Macaca mulatta: one gene and its partners. The protein of the gene in region 1 purifies or fractionates together with the protein of each later gene. This does not show direct contact. Links are inferred from orthologs where the notes say so. Each region holds a gene or a part of one and is shown on either strand. Other genes may lie near its edges. The genes, in order: SSRP1, CHD1, TRIM24, CHD4, SRPK1, MMS22L and CSNK2A2.

Region 1 (4,065 bases):
CAATAAACACACGATGAACATGCAAACAGATAGGAAACCAGAGACAGTGGCAGAAGGAAAAGAGCAAAACAAGTAAAAGGCTGAAGCCCTTCACCCTATCTTCCTCCCCAAACCTCAGTCTTCCCCAGGACTCACCACCAAATTTCACTGTCCCCCAGTTCCAGCCCTTCACACAAAGGTCCTTCTCCATTAGCTCAAGGCGATAGTGAGTTTTGAAGAAATCAGAGAGTTTCTCAAACTCCTGTGGGTGGAGGGAAGAAAACGCAATCCCAGTAAACCCTGGTGGCCTTAACACCGACTTGAATGTCCTGGGATTATCTATTTCTGAGAAACTGTCCCAAATAGGCTTTATAAGAAACTCTTGCTGCCGGGCGTGGTGGCTCACGCCTGTAATCCCAGCACTTTGGGAGGCCGAGGCGGGTGGATCACGAGGTCAGGAGATTGAGACCATCCTGGTTAACACGGTGAAACCCCGTCTCTATTAAAAATACAAAAAATTAGCCGGGCGAGGTGGTGGGCGCCTGTAGTCCCAGCTACTCGGAAGGCTGAGGCAGGAGAATGGTGTGAACCCAGGAGGCAGAGCTTGCAGTGAGCCGAGATCGCGCCACTGCACTAGAGCCTGGGCGACAGAGCAAGACTCCGTCTCAAAAAAAAAAAAAAAAAAAAGAAACTCATGATGACTTAGCAACCCAGCTCTAACATTGTTTAAAAGATGGTTTAGAGAGGTTGCTTCTAGCCACTGGATCTGACATTCCTGGTTATGGGTCATCTGATTTTATAAACTTTGTATAGGTATTACTTTAATGAAAGTGGAAATTAAAATCAAATAAAGCCTTTAACTCAAGCAGTTCAAAATGGAAACCCACACTTTAAGACATCAAGCTAGCCAGGCGCAATGGCTCATGCCTGTAATCTCAACGCTTTGGGAGGCCAAGGTGGGCGATCCCTTGAGTCTGAGAGCTCAAGACCAGACTGGGTAACGTGGCGAAACCCCATTTCTACCAAAAATTATGAAAAATCAGCTGGGCATGGTGGCATGTGCCTGTGGTACCAGATATTCAGGAGGCTGAGGTGGAAGGATTACTTGAACCCACGAGGCAGAGGCTGCAGTGAGCGGAGATTGCGCCACTGCACTCCAGCCTGGGTGACAGAGCGAGGCCCTGTCTCAAAAAAAAAAAAAAAAAACACAAAAAGACATCAAGCTAAGATCCTGAACCTTGATAAAAGTCACAGGTAGAAACTAGTATCTAAATCAAGACAGAAGAAAATCTTCTGGAGTCAAGGCACACAGAAATTCACAAGACTTCAACACTCAAAGCCGAACACTGATTGCCTCATGGCCTCACAGTCCTGCTCTAAGGAGCCCAAACTAGCAATCACAGGGTTACATGAGGAAGGAACCTCGAGTCTCTAGAAGATTAAAACAAGATGATGCAGTAAAAAGGGGGTTTATAGCTATGGGACAGCTCACCGATTCTCGGAAGCCATCATACTTGTAGACATGGCCATTCTTTGTAAGCAGTTTAAGTCCATGGCCCAGAGCAACACGGCGCCAGATGCCTTCTGTTAACTCCCCAGCCTGGATGTTGTCCACTTTCCCCGTCTTGCTGTTCTTGAAGATGATGCCCTGGCGGCTCAACCTCAGTCGACCATCATTCTGTAAGAAAAGCAGGCCCAGATGCATGGGGACAGTACACAGCATGTCCTGGGTCCAGTTCTACCCAACACACTTTCCAGCTGCGAGTGGGCTGGGCAGACTGTCAATGCAGGAGCAACAGCTGAGGTGCAAGGAGTCTAGATTCCACACCAGGCTCTGGTATTTAGAATCCTTAACAGATTCTCAGTTTCCTCATTTGTAAAACAGGAATTGGGAACTGAAGAGCATATACGGTCCCTATAACTCTGAGACTATCTCTCAGTATTGCCTCGTGTTGGGGGAGACACTAGGTACACGTTATACTGAGTCTTCTTTTTCCAAAATAACATTACCAAAGCAAGCTCTCGTTAATGGACAAAAACTCTACCCTCCTTCCTTCTCTCTACTTGTATCAACTGCCCAAGCCATTCTCACCATGGAGCCTTTCACCTCCTGATAGATGTCGTTGAACTCCAGTGTCTCTGCCATGTCGACCCCTGCCTGTGGTGGCCTGGGCAGAGCCCCAGGCTGCACAAGGGAAACCGAGTAAACTGGGGGCTGGGCCCCAACTCCTGAGTGGGTGGGCGGATGCTCAGCAGGTTGGGAATCTAAATTCAAGAGGAAGACAGATAAGCATGAAAGACAGCACCTCGCTGTGCTCACGGATGGAGCACAGCAGCAACTCCCAACTGCGCCTGGGATGTCTCAGGATTTCCTCTGCCTGGAAACCTACAGACGGACGCTGCAGCGCTCGAGGGTCCAGGCCTAAGCCCAGGTGGAGAACCGGGCCTGGAATACCGCTGACACCCAACCCGATGCCCGCTCTAGCCGCTCTGGCGGGAGCCATGGCAACGAGCAGCGGAACCCCAGGGTCAGCCCGGAGCCCGCACCTCGCACGCGCCCCAATCCAGCTCAGAGTGCAGGGTTTCCCTCGCAGCGCTCCCACCACCCCGCGGGCCTCCGGTTCACCCCCGCCCCACAGGATGGATTCGCCCGCTCCCCGCGGTTTCGAACGCGGAATGGTCCATGTCGAGCGTCCCTTGGGGGAGGGGCGCCCCTGCCTTCCTGGGACCGGGGGACGACCACCACCTACCTCCTCAGGCTGCAGCCTCGCGAGGGCCCCGGCGCAGGAGGTGGGCGCGCTGGGGGGACGCGGTGGGGCGGGGGATGGGGGGGACACCGGGGAAGCTTTTCCCGCGTGCGCGGCCCCGCGTCCCGCCACCGGAAGCCGTGCACAGGCCACAGAGACGACGAGCTGGCTAGAGAGACGCGAGCCCGGCCCGCCTGCGAGACAGTCGCATAGAGCGTCAGCGACTCTGGAGGACCTGAGGGAAGAGTGGTTGCCGTGAAGTCTCTCTCAGCCGGGTGGAATCTGCCTAGAAAATTTGTGTAGGGCTCTTTAGAAACTACAGACACTTCTTCAGTGGAGACTAGATACTGAAGAGAAATTGTGTAGTTGTATTGTATCAGACTTAGCTTAGTACAGGAATGGGGTGGGGGTGTGTGTTGAAATGATGCGTGCCCGTTTCTCTGCAAAATAGTTTCTGTGTCATGGAGAGGAGTCGATGGAACACGAAGAAAAGTATTTGAACAGTTGTGGGAAGAAACGACCTCTCGCACTGGCTGCGGAGAGAATGCGGGTGTTGGTGTCACCGTGGGTGCACTGCTTTCTGGCTGACCTGTCAAGTTCGCCGTCTACACCCAAAATTTTCACATCCCTAACCGAAATGTATAGGTCCCCCCAAGAGGCTGACAAATGGCCGTATCCAGTTCAAGTCCTGGTATCAGATTCACTTTGGAGCCAGAACTGATTTGAAACCACATCATCCTGGGGTTGCGGAAGCCAGCTCTCCCTCATATAGTCCCAGAGTGCATTTTTGCAACATCAGAGACCAGACCTGGAAAATATATTTTAGTTTTTCTACCCCAACCTCTTTTTACTGATGGGAATACTGAGACCCAAAGGGGAGTGAGTTGCCCAGGGTCTCAGTGCGTTGGCAACAAGGCTAGGACACAGACCTCCTTACCACCACCAGTCCAGTTATCTTCTGTCATAATCACAGTGACTGTATGTTCAGAATGATTGATGATATGTGTCCTACATGAAGACATTAGTACAGAATATGTAAACTCAAGATTTCCCTGACAATCAGTACACCAGCTTGCTAACTCAATCCTGAGGTAAGAGACAACAGGAATGCACCCTTCTCCCCTGAATTCATAGCTTTAACCTCTGAGTAGTGGCTATTCCAGCATTATCTAGCAATATAAATTCAACTGGGTTTAATAGATAGATATTGAGGGCCTATGACTAATTTAGCACACTTCTCGGATTTGAGGAACTTGAACAAGACGAAAACATCCCTGGCTGGGCGCAGTGGCTCACACCTGTAATCCCAGCACTTGGGGAGGCCGAGGTAGGCAGATCA
Region 2 (3,500 bases), on another chromosome or scaffold:
TTAAGCAAGTGTTACAGTAGTTACTATAATGATCTTTTTGTTTTTTGCTTACAATTTTTTTCAATATATTTTTTGACCAAATTTCTTAAAAACAACTGAAATGCAACACTAGTTTTTATTTAAAGATCACTGTAATAAAGTGATGGCCAAAATAGAATGTATATTTGTATTTTATTTGTCTATCAAATATGCCTCATTCTAGCTGATCCTTTTAATAGTATTACTTGTAGGAAATATGAACAGATATTTACTATTCCATTTTACAGAAGGAAAAAAATGGATTCAGTTGAAAAGCATTTTAGGGCTGGAACTGGAGAATGACAGAGGAAACACTAGGACCTGAACTCTAAAAGAGGCACTAATTCTTAGGTTTGTGTAAGTGCTGATGCTTGCCTCAGCTCTGGTGCTTTGTTCAAGATCAGATAGTCATTTGGATGATATAATTAAGACCAGAATCTGGTTCCTGACTAGATTTTTTGGGGGAAAATATGTATATGTATGTGTGTGTGTATATATAGATATTTTTTTAAATTTTATTTAATTTTTTTTAATTTTTTTTTTTTTTTTTTTTTTTTTTTTGAGACGGAGTCTCGCTCTGTTGCTCAGGCTGGAGTGCAGTGGTGCGATCTCCGCTCACTGCAAGCTGTGCCTCCCAGGTTCATGCCATTCTCCTGCCTCAGCCTCCCGAGTAGCTGGGACCACAGGTGCCCGCCACCACGCCCAGCTAATTTTTTTGTATTTTTAGTAGAGACGGGGTTTCACAGTGTTCGCCAGGTTGGCCTCGATCTCCTGACCTCGTGATCCGCCCGCCTCGGCCTCCCAAAGTGTTGGGATTACAGGCGTGAGCCACCGCGCCCGGCCGGAAAATATGTTTTTACAAGGAATTTACTTAGGAACAAAAAGGTACTTTATTAAATTCCCACCTTTTACCCTTATGAGTTAACCTTAGAATGTAGATATGTTCGAGATAGTCTGTGAATTTATGTAAAGGCTAGATGAATTTTCCCCCTTCTGTGGATTTCAGTTCAGTAAGGTACCATTCAATATATTCTCTTAAGTTCATTTTAAAAATATATTTCAAGGTAAATATTTTACCTCTAGTGTACATTTGAATCTTCTAGGGACTACCACCCTCCCTTAGAACTTAACATTCCTTTTCTTTTTGGAGGTATATTTAACAATTACAGTTCTTATGTATTTAAGGTATACAGTTTGATGATTTGATATACACATGCATTATGAAATAATCACCACAGTTTCTGATTAATTACTGATGCCTCTGTTGGAATGGCAAGAGATACCAAGCTGTACCTTATTTATGGTGTTTGATCGTGTTAACTCTTGGGACCATTACATTACTATTATTAAGTGACAGTTACTTTTTAATGCATTATTTAAGACAATTCTTTACAAGCATAATCCGTATTACCTGATGGTATTTCCACTCCCAATTATTAACATACCTGTCCCTTATATGCATAATCAGGATCACAGTATGAATCTGAATCACTTCCTGATTTAATTTATATCTTTGGTGCATTTCAAATTAGGATTGTTTACTGCTTTTCAGTCTAAAGACTATAAAATGAAGTGATCTGGAAGAGAAGTAAAATATAATGTTTAGTTTCACTGGAGTCTTATATGAAGTTTTGAAAAAATACATAGAATTAATATCCTTAAGAGTTTGTTCCATAGAGGGCTGTGTATGTGTGTATGTGTTTCTGTTTGGAGGGAAGGAGTTCCATGAAAAAAACTAAATATTTTCCACCAGACTAATGTAATTTGCCTTTTTTTTAATTCTTCTAGAAACCTATGGATTTTTGTATCTAAGTTTACTGAATTTGATGCAAGAAAATTGCATAAATTATATAAGCATGCTATTAAAAAACGGCAGGAATCTCAGGTAAACTTGCCATTATATTTTTTTCCCTTAATTTATATAATTAAAACCATGAGACATTCTTTTTACAAAGCAATTTGATTAATAAATACAGAATGAATAAGATAAATTTTAAAAATCACCTTTGAACACCACAGTAATAATTGTTGCAGGCAAGATTCACAGAAGGGAGGTAAAGTTAATGGGCAAGAAAATAGGATATTGACAGATCTCTGAAATGTTTATTAATTATAAAGGGAAAATAATAACTTTATAATAGAGAAACTTGCCTGACCCACCTTAAACAAGTGATCAAGGTTAATGTCACCAGTGGTAAGACACATCAGCATTATGAACCCTCTGATACTGAGAAAGGCACATGACTTATGTGGAATTCTTGCCAAAAATATATAAGTGTTATGTGAAAATATCAGACAAGCCCTTCTTGAGGGATATTCTATAAAATAACTGCTACTCTCCAGAAGTATTAACAGCATGCAGTAGACTAAGGAGCTGCCCCAGAGGAAGACATGACAACTTAGTGTAATATGGGCTTCCAAATCGAATCCCCGAGCAGATAAAGAACATGAGTGGAAAAATGTGAAATCTGAATGAAGTCTGTTCTTCAGTTAATAGTGTTATACCAATGTTAATTATTTGGTTTTGATCTTTATACTATGTTTATATAAGATATTAACATTAGGAGAAGCTAGATAAAGGGTATGTGAGAACTCAGTATTTTTGCAACTTTTCTGTTAAGTCAGTTTATTTCAAAGTGAAAAAATATCTTTAAGTCATGGGACAAGTAGTTCATACTTTAAAAATGGAGATCTATAAATGTCATACATGTATATATACACACATATATACATATATGTACACACATAAACATTCTAATACCTTGTTTGAAGACTTCAGTATCAGTATTTTCTAAGAATTATCCTTTTTTGTAAGTTTGTGAAGTCACCTAAAGATTCTTACACATGTGTGCATTTATTTTAGCAAAACAATGATCAAAACAGCAACTTGAATCCTCATGTGATTAGAAATCCAGGTATGTAAGTCTTACTGATTGGGAAAATAAATTAAAAAAAAATTTTTTTTTTAAATATTTGTTTTAAATAAACTAAATGTTAAAGTTGTTACCTTGTTTTTATTTACAAGTACCTTTATATTAAGAAGATACGGTAATTCTGATACATACCTACATTATTATATAAAATGTATTCTCTTAAGCTATCGTTCTTTTTAGTTGATTATCCTTTTAATCATCTTTTTCCCAGTTTCTAGAAATTGTAGAATAACTGCTAAAATGAACAAATATTCTTTTTTATGTAATTTGGAATAGTAATGCATTCTTTCTGTATGACAGCCACAAAAGTATAGTCTGAGAAAGGAATGGGTCCCATATTTTTTAGTTTTTGTCACATTTCAGAATCAAGTGACCCTTTTAAAATAATCCTTAGTACTGCTTTTATACACCATTTATAAATGCTTCAACTGCTTGTATTTGGGAACCAATTTTGTTTTGGCAAGGGTTGAAACGAGTTCTTGTTATCTATCAACTTAAGTTTTTTTTGCCACATATTATTTTTAAGGTCGTTAATAAAAGTTGTACTTA
Region 3 (4,084 bases), on another chromosome or scaffold:
ATTCGTATTGAAAAAAAAAAAAAACTTATATACACTTCTTAAAGTTACGTGTTTACAAAAGCTTGTTTCCTCCACTCCGTTTCTATTCTTCAAGTTCCTTAAAAGCTGCTTCATTTTTTGAGTGAAAAATGTGCTTAACTTCTGATATCAGCATAGAGAGGTGAGGGAGGGAGGGAATAAAATAAGAGGGAGGGAAGAAATAAAAAAGAATCTTGAAGTTATGAATTATTTGGGGATCAGTATTGAGGCTTATTTTTACTTAATGATGCTATATTTATGCAATAAAAACATTAGCCAATCTGTATTAATTCCTGGGAAAACGAACCTTTAGTCACTTTAAAAAGCACATCACTGACTTTGAAAATTAACTTCACCTTTTTCATTGGGGAACCCTTTAAAAATTTCCAACTTGCACAAGAACTTCCCTCCCTTATTCTTCATACTCAGTCATTCATTCTAAAGATGAGTAAAATTAGGTTGCAATATCCATGCTGCCTCCAGAGTACCTCTTTCACACAGTATTTTTAGAAAATTATTTCCTTGTTTGCTCTTCAGTACCTCCACTCCTTCCTCCTGTGACCCTCCTACCATATTTACCCCTCCTACAAGACCAGGTCTCCAGTAATGAAACGAGTTTTCCAAGCAGTTACTTAATTAACGGCATAGAGTAGACAAGTGAGGTCCCGCCCCCTAGGAGGAGCTAACACCCCGGACCGAATCAGGCGGATGGTCGATAACAAATGAACCCTCAATCTTTTCAGAGGAGAAAACACACACAAAGGCCCAATCAGAGACCGCGGCTCCAGGAGTCCAGAGGGGGCGGGGCTGGACAAGCACCACCCACTTCCCAACCTCCCGCCGCGGCCGACAGAGCCTCGCGGGCTCCGACAGGTCCCGCCCCCTCGCCAGGCGCGGCTGCTATTGGGCGGCGGGATCCTCGCCGAAGCCTCAGTTGCTGGGAGAGGGAGGGCGGGGGCGGGGCCTGAGGTGGGCTTGGGGAGCGATGAAGAGAAAGGCGGGGAGGTAAGGGCGGGCTGGGCGTATTCGACGAGCGCAGCGGCGGTTGGCGTAGCGGACGGGGTGCAGCCTCCCCGGTGTGAGGAACGGTCTCCGCTGACAGATCCCCTTCTTCCGGCCGCGCCACTCGGGAGGCGGATCCCCTGGGCCTGAGGAGGCTTCCCCCGCCCGGCTTGCTTTCCCTCCCTCCCTGGCGCTGCCGCGAGTCCACCGAGCGGCCTCTGAGGAGCAGCCGCAGGAGGAGGAGGAGGTCGTCGGGGGCGGCGGGCGAAGACCGCGCTCTCGCTTCCCCGGCGGCGGCGGGGGCAGGACAATGGAGGTGGCTGTGGAGAAGGCGGCGGCGGCGGCGGCAGCGGCCTCGGCGGCGGCCTCCGGGGGGCCCTCGGCGGCGCCGAGCGGGGAGAACGAGGCCGAGAGTCGGCAGGGCCCGGACTCGGAGCGCGGCGGCGAGGCGGCCCGGCTCAACCTGTTGGACACTTGCGCCGTGTGCCACCAGAACATCCAGAGCCGGGCGCCCAAGCTGCTGCCCTGCCTGCACTCTTTCTGCCAGCGCTGCCTACCCGCGCCCCAGCGCTACCTCATGCTGCCCGCGCCCATGCTGGGCTCAGCCGAGACCCCGCCGCCCGTCCCTGTCCCCGGCTCGCCGGTCAGCGGCTCGTCGCCGTTCGCCACCCAAGGTGAGAACCGGCTGCGGCCGCGGGGGAGCCCGGGGAGAGGGCCGGGAGGGGGCGGGCGCCCTTGTGCAGCGCGACCCGCTGTCATGTCGCCGCCGCCCGGGGTGCGCGGCGGGGGAGGGGCGAGCAGGAGGGTCTGTGCTGGCGACGGTGACATGGAGGGCCCGCGCTCTGCGGCGTGCTGCGCTCGGCCAGCAACTTCCCCGGGCGCTGTGGACTTGACCGCGCCGCCGCCGCCGCTCCGCGTTCTCTACAGCCGGGCGGCCCCTGCCAGCCGCACTTTTGCAGACCTCTGCGGAGTCTCCTGCAGCCGGAATCTCGGGTTCTTTGCCGCCTGCATCCAGTTAACTGCTTACCCGCCCGCTGCCTCCACAAAGCTTTGTCCAGGTCCATATGATCCTGATCATCTCGTCTATACCCACGTTATTTGAGCTGGAGGGGAGAAGGGAGGGATGAAGATGAAGTGATGGTGACTTTCTTTCATGACTGATTGCAGATCGGATGTCATTTATTTCTTATTTTGCATGTTTGGGGCTCTTTACCTTAATGAGTTCCCAGTTCTTTTCCCTCTCCTCTGCTAGGGACAAAGGAACCAAGAGACGTTGTTTTGTTGTGTGTCTCTTTCAAGGGTTTTATTTTGAGACGGTGAAGAGAAATAATGCAAAGTGATTTGGGGTGCAGGGTTTCCTGGTATTTTATAGATAAAGCTAGAAGTTACTCTTCTCTTTGTGGTGTTTATTACTGTAGAATTAGACTTTTGACAGGTGTTCCCATTGCTCACTTTAACAGGTTTGAAACATTTAAAGTAAGTTTAAGTGGATACGGTTTTGGGTAGAACACTTGGCAGTTTTTAAATTTTATTGCAAATATTTGAGCACCTCTTTTTAAAAAAATACAGTGTAACTGGAAGAGCATTTTTAATACTTTTTAGAGGGAATAGTTGATTTAGTTTGAAATAAAACGCTAATTTTACGCTACGTTAAGGGAAGTGTGAAATGGATACTTTAGATTGTGGTCCGAGACTCATTTATTTAACTGCATGTTAGGCCCAGTATCCACTTGTAGGAGACAGTTTTCCATGCGTGTCCGTTTCTTCACTCTTGCCAGCACCCTTGCCAGGAAGATACTGACTGCCCTTTGTTTCTGTTTTTCACGGATATTATCTAAAGAGCAGCCTTCGATAGTGTCTTCCACCAGAGCAAGAGGCAGGGATACGTATTATCCAGTATAATAAGAATAATGTCTCCCTCTGGAGCGAAAGGGTAGGCATGCTTACTGCCCATCTTAAAAGATTAGGGTTCCCTAAGCTTAGGGTTCCTCTCCTGTAGAGAAGGAACTGCCTGTGTAGATGTCAGCTGGCTCTCTTCACGTTGACCAGTGGGAACCTGGAGTTCCGAGAACTAGTGCAAAAATCTTGATGCTTTGGCTTATGCTGTTCCTGTGAGTAAAAAACAAACTGCCCTGTGTCTCTGACCCTTGAGTGTCTTCTATCACCATCCGTGAAACTGGTAAGGTTGTTAGCTTGCAAGTTGAACAAACTCTCAGATCCTTCACACTAGTTTGCTCTGAAGAGGCCCACTACTGGAAAGTTCGAACAGGTGAAAGCTTAAACCTTAGTTCTTGTTTCTTTGTTTATTTTGAGACGGAGTGTCGCTCTTGTTGCCCAGGCTCAAGTGCAATGGTGCGATCTTGGCTCACCGCAACCTCTGCCTCCCGGGTTCAAGCGATTGCCCTGCCTCAGCCTCCCGAGTAGCTGGGATTACAGGCATGCGCCACCACGCCCGGCTAATTTCGTATTTTTTTTTTTTTTTTTGGTAGAGATGGAGTTACTCCATGTTGGTCAGGCTGGTCTCGAACTCCCGACTTGAGGTGATCCGCCCACCTTGGCTTCCCAAAGTGCTGGGATTACAAGTGTGAGCCACCGTATCCCGCCTGTTCTTATTTCTTAGACGCATTTTAAGGTTGGTTTTTCCTTCCTCCCTGCCTACCTTCCTACCTTCCTACCTCGCTTTGTCCTTCAGGCTGGAATGCAGTAGCACGATCTCAGCTCACTGCAACCTCCGCCTCCCGGGTTCAAGCAATTCTTGTGCCTCAGCCGGGCGCCACACCCGGCTAATTTGTGTGTGTGTTTTTTTTTAGTAGCGATGGAGTTTTGCCATTTTGGCCAGGCTGGTCTTGTACTCCTGACCTCAGGTGATCCACCTGCCTTGGCCTCGCTAAATGCTGGGATTACAAGCATGAGCCACCCCGCCCGGCCTCTTCCATTTATATTTTAAATGGTTAAACAGGCTAGTAGCCAATTAAGATCTGAATTGTGCATTATTATAGAATTAAGATATATTGTTTGCCTGGCCATGACATACGGACTTGAATTAATGAGAACATGGATCATA
Region 4 (3,500 bases), on another chromosome or scaffold:
GTACCTTTTAAAAAGTATGTAGTGGGAGAAAAAAAGCATAGGTACAGAAAACATCATTCTGTAACTTAGAAACATACATATGAAACAACACAGTCTTTAAAAACCTACACAAAAAGCCACAGTATTACTATATTAGAAAGGTTGCTTTTCAGAGGAATGGAAGTGAGATGGCGATAAGAGGAAATAAAAAACAAAAATATTTTAAAATAGCAAAATAACCCTGTTTTTTTGAGACAGAGTTTCCCTCTGTCATTCAGGCTGGAGTGCAGTGGCATGATCCCAGCTCACTGCAACCTTTGCCTCCCGGGTTCAAGCATTCTTCTGCCTCAACCTCTTGAGCAGCAGCAGTTACAGGTGTGCACTACCATACCTTGCTAATTTTTGTGTGTTTAGTAGAGATGGGGTTTTGTCATGTTGGCCAGGCTGGTCTTGAACTCCTGACCTCAAGTGATCTGCCCATCTCAGCCTCCCAAAGTGCTGGGATTACAGGTGTGAGCCACTGTGCCCAGCCAAAACGTGTTTTTGAAGAGTAGTTGATAAAGAGTAGATGATAAAAAGGAAAATGTTTAACTGTAACTAAATGAAAACATAATATGGATATGTATATAGTATGATCTCAGTTATGTAAAAAACTATGCACAAAAAAACCTAAAAAAAAATCAGGATATATTTCTAGAAGGTGGGATCATCTGTTGTTAATTTTTGATATTCTATTTTCTAAATTGAGTTTTTATTGCTTTTGTATAAGAGAATCTAAAGGGTAAAGAGTTTTAAAAACGAGGACATTGAAAAAGGGAAAGAAAAAAGATACAAGGCAAAGTTAAACTGCTTGGGTGTGGGAATGAGCTGTCCATGAAGTTATTTATAGGTTCTTATTACTATCAGAAACAATGAGAGGTGAGCTGAGAGGCCAGTCAGAAGTAAGCAAAGTGAGTTATCAGTCGAACTCCCGTTTCCTTTTATCCCTTGTCCAGCTCTTAGAACAAGCTCTGGTGATTGAGGAACAGCTGCGCCGGGCTGCTTACTTGAACATGTCAGAAGACCCTTCTCACCCTTCCATGGCCCTCAACACCCGCTTTGCTGAGGTGGAGTGTTTGGCGGAAAGTCATCAGCACCTGTCCAAGGAGTCAATGGCAGGAAACAAGCCAGCCAATGCAGTCCTGCACAAAGGTAGCCAGTGGCTCCCCTGCCTCCTGCTGATTAGGCCTCCTCCCTCATCTAACTGCATCCCAATGTACATATATTTGTTTTCAAACCTTTTTCAGAGCTCCTTTGAGAGTTTAGGAGTTGGTAGGGACCTTTGCCATCCTTGGGGAGTTAATATGTTAGAGGCAATCAAGGACAGTAGTTCTTTGCCTCTTTTTTTTTTTTTTTTTCTTTTTTCTTTTTAAGAGGTGGGCTCTTGGCTGGGCGCGGTGGCTGACGTCTGTAATCTCGGCACTTTGGGAGGCCAAGGTGGGTGGATCACGAGGTTAGGAGTTCGAGACCAGCCTGGCCAACATGGTGAAACCCCGTCTCTACTAAAAATAGCAAAATTAGCTGGGCATGTGGCACATGCCTGTAATCCTAGCTGCTCAGGAGGCTGAGGCAAGAGAATCGCTTGAAACCAGGAGGTAGAGTTTGCAGTAAACCAAGATCGTGCCATTGCACTGGCTATCAGCCTGGGCAACACAGTGAGACTCCGGAAAAAAAAAAAGAGATGGGCTCTCAACATTTTGCCCGGGTGGGTCTTGAACTCCTGGACTCAAGTGATCCTCTTGCCTCAGCCTCCTGAGTAGCTGGAACTACAAATATGTGCCACTGTACCCGGCCACCTTTTTTTTTTTCTTTTTGAGATGGAGTCTAGCTCTTGCCCAGGCTGGAGTGCAATGGCGTGATCTTGGCCCACTGCAGCCTCTGCCTCCTGGGTTCAAGCAATTATCCTGCCTCAGCCTCCCGAGCAGCTGGAACTATAGGCATGCGCCACCACTTGCGGCTAGTTTTTGTATTTTTAGTAGAGATGGGGTTTTACCATGTTGGCAAAGCTGGTCTCAAACTAACTTCAAGTGGTCTACCTGCCTCTGCCTCCCAAAGTGCTGGCATTATAGGCGTGAGCCACCATGCCCCGCCCTGGCCACCTTTTTTTTTTTTTTTTTTTTTTTTTTTTTTTTTTGAGGCGGAGTTTTGCTCTTGTTGCCCAGGCTGGAGTGCAGTGGCGTGATCTCGGCTCACTGCAACCTTTGCCTCCCAGGTTCAAGCGATTCTCCTGCCTTAGCCTCCTGAGTAGCTGGGATTACAGGCATGCACCACCATGCCCTGCTAATTTTGTTTGTTTTTTTGTTTGTTTTTTGAGATGGAGTTTTGCTCTTGTTGCCCAGGCTGGAGTGCAATGGCGTGATCTCAGTTCACCACAACCTCCGCCTCCCGGGTTCAAGCGATTCTTCTGCCTCAGCTTCCTAAGTTGCTGGGATTACAGGCGCCCGCCACCATGCCCGGCTAATTTTTTGTATTTTTAGTAGAGATGGGGTTTCACCATGTTGGCCAGGCCGGTCTCAAACTCCTGACCTCAGATGATCCACCTGCCTCTGCCTCCCAAAGTGCTGGGATTACAGGCATGAGCCACCACGCCCGGCCCCACCTCTTTTAACTTTAAATATATTCAGGTTCTTGAGATGGAAAGCAAAGCAGAATAATATAGTGTCATTTGGGATACTTTAGAGGTAACTTCAGGTGATAAAAGATCCCTTCAAATTCTAGACCCCTTTCAGCGTTTTGTTTCTAATTAAAGTAAAAGGTTATGAGGAGGCGGAGGGTGAAATAAGGAAAAGAATGCTGTTATAATGGAGGTGGGAGACAGATTCTGAAGGTAGAGAAGAGAAAAAACAGGAATAAGCTTCTCAAGAAGAGGAAATACAATAATAGTAAGGGATAGTGAAGGTTTAGGTGACTTTTAAGAGCACAAAATCATGAACAGTTGGAACTGGAATATGAGGAGCAGGAATTTGAACATGGTGGAGGTCAGGTCAGGTGACAGAAGATAACACATCACAGTCACTTGGTCACTGAGAAGAGATGCTGGTCCACTAGGGTAGAGGGACCTCAGTCTTGGCCACCACAGCTCACCACCTCTTTTTCTCCCTTTGCAGTTCTGAAACAGCTGGAAGAACTGCTGAGTGACATGAAAGCCGATGTGACTCGACTCCCAGCTACCATTGCCCGAATTCCCCCAGTTGCTGTGAGGTTACAGATGTCAGAGCGTAACATTCTCAGCCGCCTGGCAAACCGGGCACCCGAACCTACCCCACAGCAGGTAGGACCATTTTCTTCTTGACACCACCTCTTCCTGCAGAACCATTCTGGAGCTTGTAACTTTGTTGTATGTTCCTAGCTTTACATACTGGGTGGGTAGGCTGTCAGTGAATTCCCTTGAGATTGGGTGGATTCCTATCATCTGGAATTCTGACTCCTTGGGTCTCCTTCTCTAGGTAGCCCAGCAGCAGTGAAGATGCAGACTGATAACA
Region 5 (3,965 bases), on another chromosome or scaffold:
ATCCAGGCTGCAGTGAGCCGAGATCATGCCACTGTACTCCACCTGAGTAGCAGAGCAAGACTACTCCTCTTTAACCCTCACCTTCCCTTCAAAACCTAACAAAGGCCATGTTTAAATCAATAGAAGAACATTTTATGACATGCGAAAATTATATGAAATTAAAATTTCAGTGTCCATAAATAAATCTTTATAGGAACAAAGTCCATATTTTCTATGACTGCTTTTGAGCTCCAGTGGCAGAGTTGAGTAGCTGAGAAAGAGATCTTATGGTCCACAAAGCCTAAATATTTACTATCTGGCCCAAAGAAAAACTTTGCTGAGCCTGCTATACAATAAGGGCTTGATGATTAAATAACTGGGTCGTACACCAAGATTCTGAACATATAGGCAGGTCCTCTTAAGTTTAGTGTCTTTGTGTAATGGAAGGAATAACTATTTTGCCTTTAAGTTGCCATAAACATAAAATGAGATAATGCACTTAGAAAAGTAAAAAAAAAAAAAATCTCATAAACAAGACAACTTTATCATGTATTGAAAGTGGTAGAATAAGAAAACATTAAACGTTTTTATTCTCATTTCCCTTTCTTTCCTTTACAGCTTTCATTTAAACTTGAAATTTCAAGAGAAAATTCACTTTTGAAGTTTTTACTTTTCAAGTGATAATAGGGTCACAGGTTCTTTCCTTCCAGTCTTTCTGTGTTGCTCCCACTCCCTTTTCTTTCTCACATGTAATTTTTTTCCATTTTCTTTAAATAGCATCTCAACTGGGCTCACAATAGCTCAGGGAAGGAGAAACTGGGACATGCCTGATTAATCCATTTTACAGGCCAGGAAACTGAGGCAGATCCCAATTGCCTCTGAAGCTCTGACTCAGCAGCATGCAGGGAGCCCTGCCGCTCTCTGCGCCTTTTCTAAGCAAATAGAATAAAACTAACCTTGCCAGGTTTCCGAGCTTGGATCTCTAACACTCCTTCAACGTTCACCCCCGACGTTCCTCCTCTCAGCGCCCCCTCCCTCTCCTTGCCGCCCCCTCCTCGGGAGCAGGTGGTAGGCTCCGCTCCCGACGCGCATGCGCGCGGCACGGTGGGGCGGGGGCGGGGCGGGACTGGGGGTGGAGTGTGCGCGGGCTCGGTTTTGGGCCGCGGCGGGAGCTGGAGTCACCGCCACTCGAGTGCGCAGGCGCTTGGCGGTTACCGGTCTCACCATGGAGCGGAAAGGTGAGCGGTGGAGCGGCCTCCGCCACGAGGGGCAACGGCCGCCGGGGCGAGGCCCGGGTCAGCGCCCGGAGCTTCGCCTAACTGCCGCGGTTCGGTCCCCGGGCTTGCGGCGCCCCTCCACTGAGGTGGCGCCGCCCCACACCCCCCGCCTCTGGGCTGCGGGTCCGCGCCCCTCAGCCCGGGCGTCCTCCGGCGCCGGCCGTCGCCGCCCCTTGTTCCCTGCCAGGCCGGCTTGCGCCTTGGGGCCACTCCAGGGCCCGGACCTTGGCGGGCGAGGCAGACCTCCGCCCGCCCGCCCCCTGACCCGGCCTGAGACCCCTCCGGCGCATCCCGCCCGTGCGCTGCTCTGTGCCCCGTGGGCCGCCAGCCCCCCGGCCGGCCGCCTTGCCGAAGCCTCCGCGCTCGTACCGCAGCCGCCCCTGAGACAGGCCCCGCAGCCGGGCCTGGCGCCCCTGCTGGGTCTCCACCCTCACCTTGGTCACCTCCTTTCCTCCACATTTGCCCTTCATCCATCCCTCTCTCCTGCAGTGCTTGCGCTCCAGGCCCGAAAGAAAAGGACCAAGGCCAAGAAGGACAAAGCCCAAAGGAAGTGAGTCTTGTACCCCAACATCCCATTCTTTGGATTTTCCTCCGGCACCTTCTCTGCTCTGGTTTCGCGTCTTGAATGTGCACAGGGTTTGGGCACCCTGTGGCCGCAGCCACATGGCCTCGGGGCAGCTCGGAGGGTCGCTCTCCAGCAACCATGTGGAAGAGAGCTGCTGTTGCTGAACGCCAGGCCTGGGTCTTAGCAGCCCCAGGCCTGCTGGAAAGGGCTGTCGGAGGAGGACCAGAGCCCGCCCGGTACCTTTCCTCCCCAACTCCACAGAGGAGGCACAAACTCCCCTAGCTTGGACCCCCCCCCCACCGGAGCTGGTAGATCATTATCGTTCTGTTTCTGAACTCTGGTCTCTCTCTCTTACCTGCTCCCCAACGTCTTAACTTGCCTCCAACGTCTGCACGGTAGGCCTTAAGGAAATTCTTGAATGAGTTTTTCCGTGTTTACTTTGGGTTCTACCAACCACACACTCCCTTTCATAGAGGAGGGCATGGGGCTTTTCTTTGGGTTAGTCAACTTCCTGAACCTGCAAGGCACATCGGCTTTTTTGCACTGTGCCGGCAGACCGCTGTGTATACAGTCAGTGTCTGTTAACTGCTTCTCTTCTGTCTAAACCTCAATCAAATGCAGATAATCTTCCGGAGTCGGCATCACTATAGTAACGGGAGAGTTCTTTAACACACATCGATGGTTCTGGTTTGGTGTATTAAGCGCCACATGTCCAGTTTTATCAGTGGGATGCATAACAGTATAGTGCTATCGTGGCAAGTTCAAAAGTTGGTCACAGCCTAATAGAAACTCAGGTAGCAGGCTTCATTCAGCAAGTGAGGCTAAGCCTAAAGAACTTTCATCATGTACTAACGTTTAACTGCAAAGGGTCTTGGAAATCAGCTCTTGGAAATCATCTCTCAGAGAGAGATTCTATGCCTAGTTCTTAATTTTAGATGTATTATCTTTATACTTTTAAATTTATTTGATTTTTTTGGCGTTGTATGCGGTCTAATTCCCTCTGAGTTGATACAACACATTTCAAAGGCCTTCCTAGGTCACCCCACTGAATGACAATACCAGATTAAGGGGGGCGTAGGGGTGTGTGTTGTTTTTGGAGGCTACCTACTGTTTGGGGAGAGCACATAATGACTTCTGTCTTTCAATAGAACTAAAGTGGTAGGTGACCTCACCTCTTGCTCCATTTTCTATTCTGTCTTATGAAATGTATTTTGTAAGTGCTTGGTGACGAAGGTTTGTAAATGGTGAGTTTGTGTGTGTCTGTTTGCCTTTGGATTATCCGTATATGGGATTATTCAAAACCATTTTTTAATCCTAGATTGTTTAATAGAAACAGCAAGGTGCTAACTTGGTTCTAGTGTGCAGTAGGAATTGAAATGTTACTTTTCTGTGCCTAGTTGAGTTATTCTTTGTGGAATTGATAAGAATGTGTTAAAACGTTCTTTTCTATTGATACGAGGAAGTTGCGGTTTTTATTATATTACTGTATTTTTTAGAAATCCTGGTCTCTCAGACCATTTGTCCAGATCTCTCTTACCACTTGGAAATTAATTTGAGATTAGCCCAAATCAAGCTATAATTTGAGGGGCAAATGTATATAGGTGATCATATACTTTAAGCACCAGATATCTATTACTTCCGATTATCTATTTAGACTATATGCTTTATTTCTAAAGCCAAATATATGTATATCTGTTACCCCATTCACTACTATGGATAACTTAGAGTTATTTGTGTTGTTAATTGTTTGCAAGTGTGGATTATAGATAACGTAGCAGTCATTTTACTGAATATTTTATCTTGAACAACTTTGACTCCTGAAAATATGCGTGAATGAACTGCCCCATTTACTTGTAATTTCAGAGGTGTTTTATTTTTGATTTTGTTTCCAATTAATACGTTTTTGCTTTTTTTTGTTTTAAATTTACCTTTTTATTCTTTTTCTTTTTGAGGCAAGTTCTCGCTCTGTTGCCCAGGCTGCAGTTTAGTGGTGCGATCTCGGCTCACTGCAACCTCCACCTCCTAGATTCAAGCAATTCTCTTGCCTCAGCCCCCCAAGTAGCTGGGACTATAGGTGTATGCCACTACGCCTGGTTAATTTTTGTATTTTTTGTAGAGATAGGGTTTTGCCATGTTGCCCAGGC
Region 6 (3,500 bases), on another chromosome or scaffold:
ATCAACATTGTCTATTTTGGTTTCAGGGAAGGTATCAACGCTGCACTGCAAAGCAGACAATATCAGACAGCAGTGTGTACTATTTCTCCATTATGTTAAAGTTTTCATCTTCAGGTAGGATATCAGATGAGTATTTTGATCACTGCATGAATTTCTGTGTGTATTCATATAGACTCTGATTGTTTATTTTATCTAATTATTTTTTAGGTATCTGAAAGTACACAATGCTGAGAGTCATGTTCCTGTCCATCCTTATGAGGCTTTGGAGGCTCAACTTCCCTCACTGTTGATTGATGAGCTTCATGGATTACTCTTGTATATTGGACACCTATCTGAACTTCCCAGTATTAATATAGGAGCATTTGTAAATCAAAACCAGATTAAGGTTCGACTTGTTTCATTTAATTTTTAAATTATCAGCTTTTTCTCCCCACAAGGAATATTCATTCAGGAAGGAGAGAAATTAGTCAAAATTACAGCTCTGCAACCTGACTGCCTGTGTTGAAATTCTTGCCCCCATCCTCCTTTTATTAATTATGTGCTCTTGGGCAAATGACATCTCTTGCCTCAGCCTCCCCATCTGTGTAATTCTTATAACTTACTAGAATCATTGGGAGAATTAAATAAATTAATATATATGAAGTTATTAAAACATAATATTCATTGAATCAGTAGCTATTCTCTTGATTTATGACAGTGTAAATGTCTGAAGATTTTAAAGCAAATGAAATAATCTTTGTTTTCTAAAATTTTTTTATCATATATTGCAGTAAGATTCAAGATCAGCTTATTAAAAAAAACTTCCAAGACCACATCATTGTGTGTATTCTGATTTTTGAGGCCTTTTTGGAAAGTGATTAAGATTGTTTTGACTCTGCCCTTTTTTTCCTTCCTGTGATAATCATTCCTTCTGAAGTTTGGTTTTTAAAAATTTATATTGTTACCATGCCTAGCTTATAGATAAGTAATAGATTCTCCCTATGAAAATGGGAGCTTGTATGAATAACAAATTATGGTAATTCACAGTGAGATTCCCTGAAGTCTCAACCCCTTTCATTATATTTGACTTTACCATTTTGAATAATATTTACTCTTTATGAACATACCTTTGTTAAAATATAAAAACAGCTGAGCATGGTAGCTCATGCCTGTAATCCCAACACTTTGGGTGGCTGAGGCAGGGAGGAGTGCTTGAATCCAGGATTTGAGACCAGCTTGGGCAACATAGCGAGACCCCATCTCTATAAAAAATTAAAAAGTTAGCCAAGGGTGGTGGCACATACCTTGTAGTCTTAGCTACTCAGGAGGTTGAGGTGGGAGGATCAGTTGAACTCAGGAGGTCGAGGCTGTGGTGAGACATGACTGCACCACTGCATTCCAGCCTGGATGACAGAGCAAGACCCTATTTCAATAAATAAAATAAATAGAATTAAATGTTTACATGTTTCTGTGAAATGTAGCAGAAACAAGTTGACTTTTTTATCAGAGATCAATATATGTAATAATAAAAGCAAATAAAGTTCTAACTGAATTTACAAGTTAGTATAACTAATCCATAGAAAACAAATAGGTAATTGCTTTTAATTATGTCATTTAATAAAAAGATTCATGAGTAGATTGTTGAAGGAGGGATGTTTTCCTTATTAGTTTCTGTAAATTGGACTGGTTTTTATTTTCTAGTTATCCATCGAATACATAAGAAATAAAAATGAATAATTTATGTGGCAGCAGAAATAAAATTTGTGCACTAGGGTCCTCAAACTAGATATTGCCTTTCATAGGCTTTTTAATTAGGCAGACTTGAAAAGATAGGTTATTTGAAGCTCAGAAGACTAAAGTTTTAAAGCAAGGGAACTTTATAGTCTTCAAAAAATAAAAAATCACCCACTAAAATACTGTTCTTTTCTGAAACAAAAACATAATAGAAAGCATCTTTCAAGACTATGTTTATATATTTGTTATAACAATCTTGTATAGGAAATGTTTTGTTTTCATTGGTATTTCCAGTTGAGCTTCTTTTATTATTTTTTAGGAACTCTAGATATATGTTAGTTATTGGGAATTATGTATTGCAAATATTTTATTTACTTTTTCATTAAGTAAGCTGACTTTCTAGGTAGATTTGAATTTTTTAGATAGTTATATTTTTCCATTTTTTGTTTTATCTATGCTGTTAAAATATTTTGATTGTTGCTTTTATCTCTTTAATTCGTGTTATTTTTAAGTATGCACTGAGGTGAGAAGTCTAACTTCAGTTTCTTGCAAATGCATAAGTTAAAACTCTTATTTTTTATTGAATGACCCATACTTTTCCCATTGATTTGAGATGCCACATAAATTCATTTCTGTCTTCTCTGTTCTTGCTCTTTGTTATCTATTTCTGTCCCAATACGGTTTTGTCAGTGTAGCATTTTATTTTGTTTGTATACCTAATAACGCAGGTCTACTCTTCATCATTCTATTTGTTTTAATGGAACATGTTACGTCATTTTTTTTTTATAGTATTTATTTTTATAGTGATGCTAAATTCTGACAGGAGGAAGGTTAGTGATAACCCAGTATAACACAGTACTTGAAAGTGCTGGGTTTTGACTCAGATAGAATTGAGTTTGAATCCTAATACATGAATTGAGAGAGAAATTTTTTCACCTCTTTTTACTTCTGTTCCTTAATGAGATGACAGTAATGTCTACATGACAGTCTAAAGTTCTTTTGTTAAAATATTTTATAGGAGTTCCTAGGTACTCATACATTAAAAAAAATTTCCTAGCTAAATTCTAAAACAAAATTATGAAAACACGTGTTTAAAAAAATTCTTTTACTGCCTTGCAGCTATAGTAGAATCAGAGGTTGGCTGGAAGGTACCTTTACTATACAAGTCTATTCAGCAGCCCCAAAGTGGGTTTGTCTTAAACCAACAGATGAAAATATTTACTGCTTTCAAAGATCTTCAGTGAAGGAATCCTTTAATGAACAAGACAGAGGTTTTCCCTGAGCTTTTGAATAGTGGTAGGTTAATTGGTTCTTTATCCTTGTGTTTATGGAGGAGTATTGTGACATGCTATGAAACACCTTGTAAAATATTAATGAATTCTCAATCACAGTTGATAATGTCATCCACAGCTTTTTCCACCATCATGGCATTTATTACATCTCCACTTGGATATACATTGGCTGGTGCTAGAAATTCTTTACATGCTGGGTGAAAAATTGAGTAAGTTTATGGATTTATGATTTATATTCTTTTTAAAAGCTTTTATTGCTTTTTAAAATTACGTAAGTAATAAGTGCCTTCTGATATTTAAAAAAAATCAAATAGTAAACAAAGTAAGAAGTAAAAGTTTTACTCCTTTTTTTCCAGAGGTAACTACTGGGAACACCTTGATTTATCTTTCCATATTTACATTCTATCTGTTAGTATACATATTTCCATTCTATCTGTTAGTATCTATATAAAAACTCATAGGTAAAATTTTGTTTTTGTTTTTAACCACAGATAT
Region 7 (3,940 bases), on another chromosome or scaffold:
CTCTTTACTGCAATTCTGCTTCTTCATCACTAGGCTAGGATGTTTTGAGTGATGGAGTTAATCATTTTTTCTGAAAGATTACCAGGAAGCATAAGCCTGACCCCTCACATTAAACAGTGATTACCTACACAGCTGCTCTAACACACAGAAACAGCTTTTCAATTCCACATTCTTAGTCCACAGAACCTCTGCAAAAGGGCCACACTGGAAATCACATGTATGCAAAGTGCTTACGTCACTCTTCCGTCTTCTCAATCTCTCACTAAATGACATGTAACCACATGAAATGATCTGGCAATAACGAAGACCCATCACAGATTCTAAGAACTACTTTTTACTATAGCCTATAAAACATTATTAAAGCTATACAATTAATCTGTTACCAGAAGGAAAATTTAGCCGACCCTTCATGCTCATTAAAATCATCTTCATGGAAGAGATAACAAAAGACATATCATTATCAAACTGATTGCTAAACCATATATTAAAATCGTTTTGTTCCAATTATTGCTTTAGTAATAATACGTGAATTCTTCTACATTTTTACTAGCTGATAAGCAACAATGGCTCTCTGGCTTCCCAACAAGGCTTCTCAGCACTACTGGCGCACTATATCCATCCCACCTGAAACTTTACTGCCAAAGGAAAAAAAAAAGCAAGTGATTATCTGCTAAGGAATTTCCTTCCACTTGGGTTTGACATACATTTCTGAAGTCGCTCCAATTTTTTCCAACTTTCTTTCTGGAACAACGGAGAGCATGCACCAAGACTAACAAACACAGTGCTCAGGGAGCCCTTAAATTGAGAATGGCTTTCCTGTCTTTTGAATACCTATTTATTTTCTAACAAATGGAGCCCTTTAGGAATTTTTGCTTTAGGCAATTTACTTTTTAGAACAAACACCTTCCTGAACTTAGATTTGAACTAAGATCTGTGACCAGTCTGCACATTTTCTTGAAAGTTCACAGCAAAATGGGGTGGAAAAAGAAGTAATGAAGGGACATCAGATAAATAAAATCTGAGCGTGGGCTGGGCACAGCGGCTTATGCCTGTAAACCCAGCAATTTTAGGAGGCCTGCAAGGAGTCCTTTTGGAGGACTGCTTGAGCTCAGGAGTTTAAGACCAGCCTGGGCAACTTGACCAGACCCTGACTCTACAAAAAAATTTTAAAAATAACTGGGCGTGGTGGCATGCACCTGTAGTCTCAGCTACTTGGGTGAGATGGGAGGATCATTTGAGCTCAGGAGTTGAAGGCTGCAGTGAACTATGATCTGCACTACAGCCTGGGTGACAGAGTGAGACTCTGACTCTAAATAAATAAATTAAATTAAATTCAAGCTTGCATTGCCCATTCTAGAACGTGACTGGGGTAGCTTACAACCTTCTGCCCTGTGGGGGGAAAAATGTTACATACCACTCATAGGACACTCACCTTGAGGATTTTTACAACCACTCTCTCATTGTTGGTGATGTTAATGGCCTCAAATACTTCACTATATTTTCCCCGACCAAGTTTTCGAACCAGTTGGTAATCATCTTGATTACTGTAAAAGGAAGACACACACATAAATGCCAGGACTGGGGGTTAATCTAAGCAAGCCTATGCTCACTGTATACGTCATTCAGCCGCTTCCAACAGGCAAACACTTGGAAGTGTCTATACATCACGTCACAACTCATTCCCTAAATGAAAGCCACGACGTAATCTTGGCTCCCTTCACTCTGCAGAGCTCCTAACCTAATTGGTCTCTCCTAACTTGGAAAGATGGGGCAGGAAGGCAACGCTCTGAGCCAATCCAGAGGGCTGAGCAAAGCACCCGTCCTGAAGGCCTAGAGGGTGCCCCCTGTGCCCCGCGGCTCCCCAGCACCTGCTTCCCGTTTCACACCCTGAGGGTAGACAGTGCCTGTTTTAAAAAACTGGACGTCTTTAAGAAATTTCCTCCCACCACCTCATCTCAGAAAACCGAAAAGGCAGGGAATTTTAATAGCTCCAAAGGACAGCTGTTGACTTCCCACCCCAGTGGAAACCCAGAAGCGTGAGGAAGGGCTACTCCCTCACTTTTACCGGGCGTCGATCCCTGGACCCCACACTTCTCCCCGAGTAAAAAAGCATTCCTTGGGGGAAAGAGGTGCGCAAAGCGGGGAGAAAGGGACAAGGGGAGGGAAGAGGAAGACGAGGACATGTGCGAGAGCTGGACCTCTGCCTCCCTGCGGGCCCGCGGAGGGGTCGGCGGGAGACACCACCGGGCCCGAGTGCGGTTCGCAGGGGGTGGCCGGGCGGGGGCAGGGGTCAGCGGGCCCGGCGGGGGGCGGCGGCGGCTTTACCCCCAGCTCGGGACGTGAGCCTCGTAGTCCCAGTACTCGCGGCTCCTCAGGCTGTTCACCTCGGCGTAGACCCGGGCCCTGCTGCCCGCGGCCGGGCCGGGCATGGCGGGCGGGACCGGGGGGCGGCGCGGGGCGCAGAGGGTGGCGGCGGCGACGCGGCGGAGGGCGCGGGGCGGCGGGCGGAGGGGGCAGCGGGCCGCCGGGCGCTGGAGGAGGAGGAGGAGGAACGCGGCGGCGGGCGGCCGCGCCAGGCCGGGCCCGCGGGGGCGGGCGGGCTGGGGGCGCGGGGGGCGCCGGCCGAGCCGGCCCGGCCCTGGAGCGGCCGGCGGGGCGGCGGGGCGGGCGGCGCTCGCGATCCGCGGCGGTCTCCGCTCGGCTCGCGGCCCCCAGGAGGCGGCGGCAGTGGCGGCGGCGGCACCGGCAGTGGCAGCCACCGGCCGGGAAAGGGGCAGCGGCCGCGGCAGCGGAGAAGAAGGAGGAGAGAAGGAGGAGGCGGAGGAAACCCGGAAAAGGGGCCGCGCTCGCTGGGAGCGGCCGCCGCCCGGCCTGGGACCGCCCAGGCTCACAGCGCCCCCTGGAGCGCGGGGGGACCCGCCGGGCGGTGCCGGCCCCGCCCCGGCCCCGCCCCGGCACGCCCCGCCGCCTACCTCGCGCCCTCCCGCACCGTCCCGCACCCTCGCCCTCCCGTCGCCCCAGGTCGGACGGTCCAAATCGCCTCACCCTCGGGCTGGCCTGACTTCACGCCACAGGAGCCCCCCTTCCACTGGCCGTTGCCCTAGAGCCCTCGCCCGCGAGTCCCGACCCTTTCACTGTCCTTGGAGACCCTACCCCTAGCCCTGCACTCACCCAGCTTTTACCCACCCGACACCTCCCATACTGACCCTATTCTGACCCTCCTGTCACCCAAACTGTCAAGTCCCTCCCCAGGGCCTCGCTCAAACCTCAGAACCTCTCCCACCTCAATACTTCTCCTTTTCCCGGAGACATACCCCTCCTTCCCCCTCTGGACCCTGCCCTGTTAGGGTAGACTCCTCAGTCCCCAAAGCTTCCCACCCCCGTCATTCAGAGTCCTCACAAAACCTTTCCACGCTTCCCCCAAATGCCCTTCCAGAGCCTTCCCTGAATATCCACTTTGGTCACTTGGTTAAGCTGGCGTCGGCCAGGTTGTGCCACTGCAAAGTTACAATTTTTCCCTTTGTGATTAGTTAGTTATTTGTGGGGAGAGACTTTGAGTGTGTAAATCTCCTGTTTGTGTTTAGGAGGAGGGAGAGCAGAATTGCAAATCCGACCTGAAGGGACAGCAGGGATTGGGGATGCACCAGGGTAGGTGGTCAACTGAACTGGCCTGGCTTCCAGTGTTGCTTGCAGCCCTGAACACCCTTCTCCTTGGACCTTCTAGGCCCTTCCTTTGTCTTCCTTTCCCATCCTGCATCCTTTATCGACAGGACCTCTGCACCCAGTGCAGGTTGCTCTCATTCCAATCCCTTTTCACAGTCTGTTTTCTAGATGAAATCCTGGGCCTTCCTCCTTGACACAGCTAAGAGCACAGACTGTAGAGTCAGATCTATCCAGCACTGCTACTTAGAAGCTGTGTGACCTTAGGACAATTACTCAA

What was found.
Region 2: the proteins of SSRP1 (region 1) and CHD1 purify together in Homo sapiens (affinity purification with mass spectrometry; 3 studies listed by BioGRID and IntAct, with this or other methods). This does not show direct contact. The link is inferred for Macaca mulatta from reciprocal best matches to the Homo sapiens genes SSRP1 and CHD1.
Region 3: the proteins of SSRP1 (region 1) and TRIM24 purify together in Homo sapiens (affinity purification with mass spectrometry; 3 studies listed by BioGRID and IntAct, with this or other methods). This does not show direct contact. The link is inferred for Macaca mulatta from reciprocal best matches to the Homo sapiens genes SSRP1 and TRIM24.
Region 4: the proteins of SSRP1 (region 1) and CHD4 purify together in Homo sapiens (affinity purification with mass spectrometry; 3 studies listed by BioGRID and IntAct, with this or other methods). This does not show direct contact. The link is inferred for Macaca mulatta from reciprocal best matches to the Homo sapiens genes SSRP1 and CHD4.
Region 5: the proteins of SSRP1 (region 1) and SRPK1 fractionate together in Homo sapiens (co-fractionation; 3 studies listed by BioGRID and IntAct, with this or other methods). This does not show direct contact. The link is inferred for Macaca mulatta from reciprocal best matches to the Homo sapiens genes SSRP1 and SRPK1.
Region 6: the proteins of SSRP1 (region 1) and MMS22L purify together in Homo sapiens (affinity purification with mass spectrometry; 3 studies listed by BioGRID and IntAct, counting the BioPlex papers as one, with this or other methods). This does not show direct contact. The link is inferred for Macaca mulatta from reciprocal best matches to the Homo sapiens genes SSRP1 and MMS22L.
Region 7: the proteins of SSRP1 (region 1) and CSNK2A2 purify together in Homo sapiens (affinity purification with western blotting; 3 studies listed by BioGRID and IntAct, with this or other methods). This does not show direct contact. The link is inferred for Macaca mulatta from reciprocal best matches to the Homo sapiens genes SSRP1 and CSNK2A2.

Annotation. Positions count from the first base shown.
Region 1 is NC_133419.1:16,070,288-16,074,352, reverse strand, and holds the start of SSRP1 (FACT complex subunit SSRP1), read right to left. Parts: upstream 2,801-4,065; 5' UTR 2,730-2,800; exon of another isoform or gene 2,527-2,729; intron 2,245-2,526; 5' UTR 2,126-2,244; coding exon 2,072-2,125; intron 1,658-2,071; coding exon 1,472-1,657; intron 242-1,471; coding exon 136-241; intron 1-135. UniProt on the Homo sapiens protein: Component of the FACT complex, a general chromatin factor that acts to reorganize nucleosomes. The FACT complex is involved in multiple processes that require DNA as a template such as mRNA elongation, DNA replication and DNA repair.
Region 2 is NC_133411.1:107,621,279-107,624,778, reverse strand, and holds part of CHD1 (chromodomain-helicase-DNA-binding protein 1), read left to right. Parts: intron 1-1,806; coding exon 1,807-1,903; intron 1,904-2,881; coding exon 2,882-2,933; intron 2,934-3,500. UniProt on the Homo sapiens protein: ATP-dependent chromatin-remodeling factor which functions as substrate recognition component of the transcription regulatory histone acetylation (HAT) complex SAGA. Regulates polymerase II transcription.
Region 3 is NC_133408.1:178,297,887-178,301,970, forward strand, and holds the start of TRIM24 (transcription intermediary factor 1-alpha), read left to right. Parts: upstream 1-1,284; 5' UTR 1,285-1,330; coding exon 1,331-1,694; intron 1,695-4,084. UniProt on the Homo sapiens protein: Transcriptional coactivator that interacts with numerous nuclear receptors and coactivators and modulates the transcription of target genes.
Region 4 is NC_133416.1:7,522,682-7,526,181, reverse strand, and holds part of CHD4 (chromodomain-helicase-DNA-binding protein 4), read left to right. Parts: exon of another isoform or gene 1-197; intron 198-974; coding exon 975-1,170; coding exon of another isoform or gene 1,171-1,173; intron 1,174-3,125; coding exon 3,126-3,289; intron 3,290-3,464; coding exon 3,465-3,482; 3' UTR 3,483-3,500. UniProt on the Homo sapiens protein: ATP-dependent chromatin-remodeling factor that binds and distorts nucleosomal DNA. Acts as a component of the histone deacetylase NuRD complex which participates in the remodeling of chromatin.
Region 5 is NC_133409.1:146,332,733-146,336,697, forward strand, and holds the start of SRPK1 (SRSF protein kinase 1), read left to right. Parts: upstream 1-1,165; 5' UTR 1,166-1,204; coding exon 1,205-1,806; intron 1,807-2,176; exon of another isoform or gene 2,177-2,308; intron 2,309-3,965. UniProt on the Homo sapiens protein: Serine/arginine-rich protein-specific kinase which specifically phosphorylates its substrates at serine residues located in regions rich in arginine/serine dipeptides, known as RS domains and is involved in the phosphorylation of SR splicing factors and the regulation of splicing.
Region 6 is NC_133409.1:88,599,676-88,603,175, forward strand, and holds part of MMS22L (protein MMS22-like), read left to right. Parts: intron 1-26; coding exon 27-114; intron 115-207; coding exon 208-385; intron 386-3,123; coding exon 3,124-3,214; intron 3,215-3,500. UniProt on the Homo sapiens protein: Component of the MMS22L-TONSL complex, a complex that promotes homologous recombination-mediated repair of double-strand breaks (DSBs) at stalled or collapsed replication forks.
Region 7 is NC_133425.1:53,802,437-53,806,376, forward strand, and holds the start of CSNK2A2 (casein kinase II subunit alpha'), read right to left. Parts: upstream 2,801-3,940; 5' UTR 2,430-2,800; coding exon 2,326-2,429; intron 1,545-2,325; coding exon 1,433-1,544; intron 1-1,432.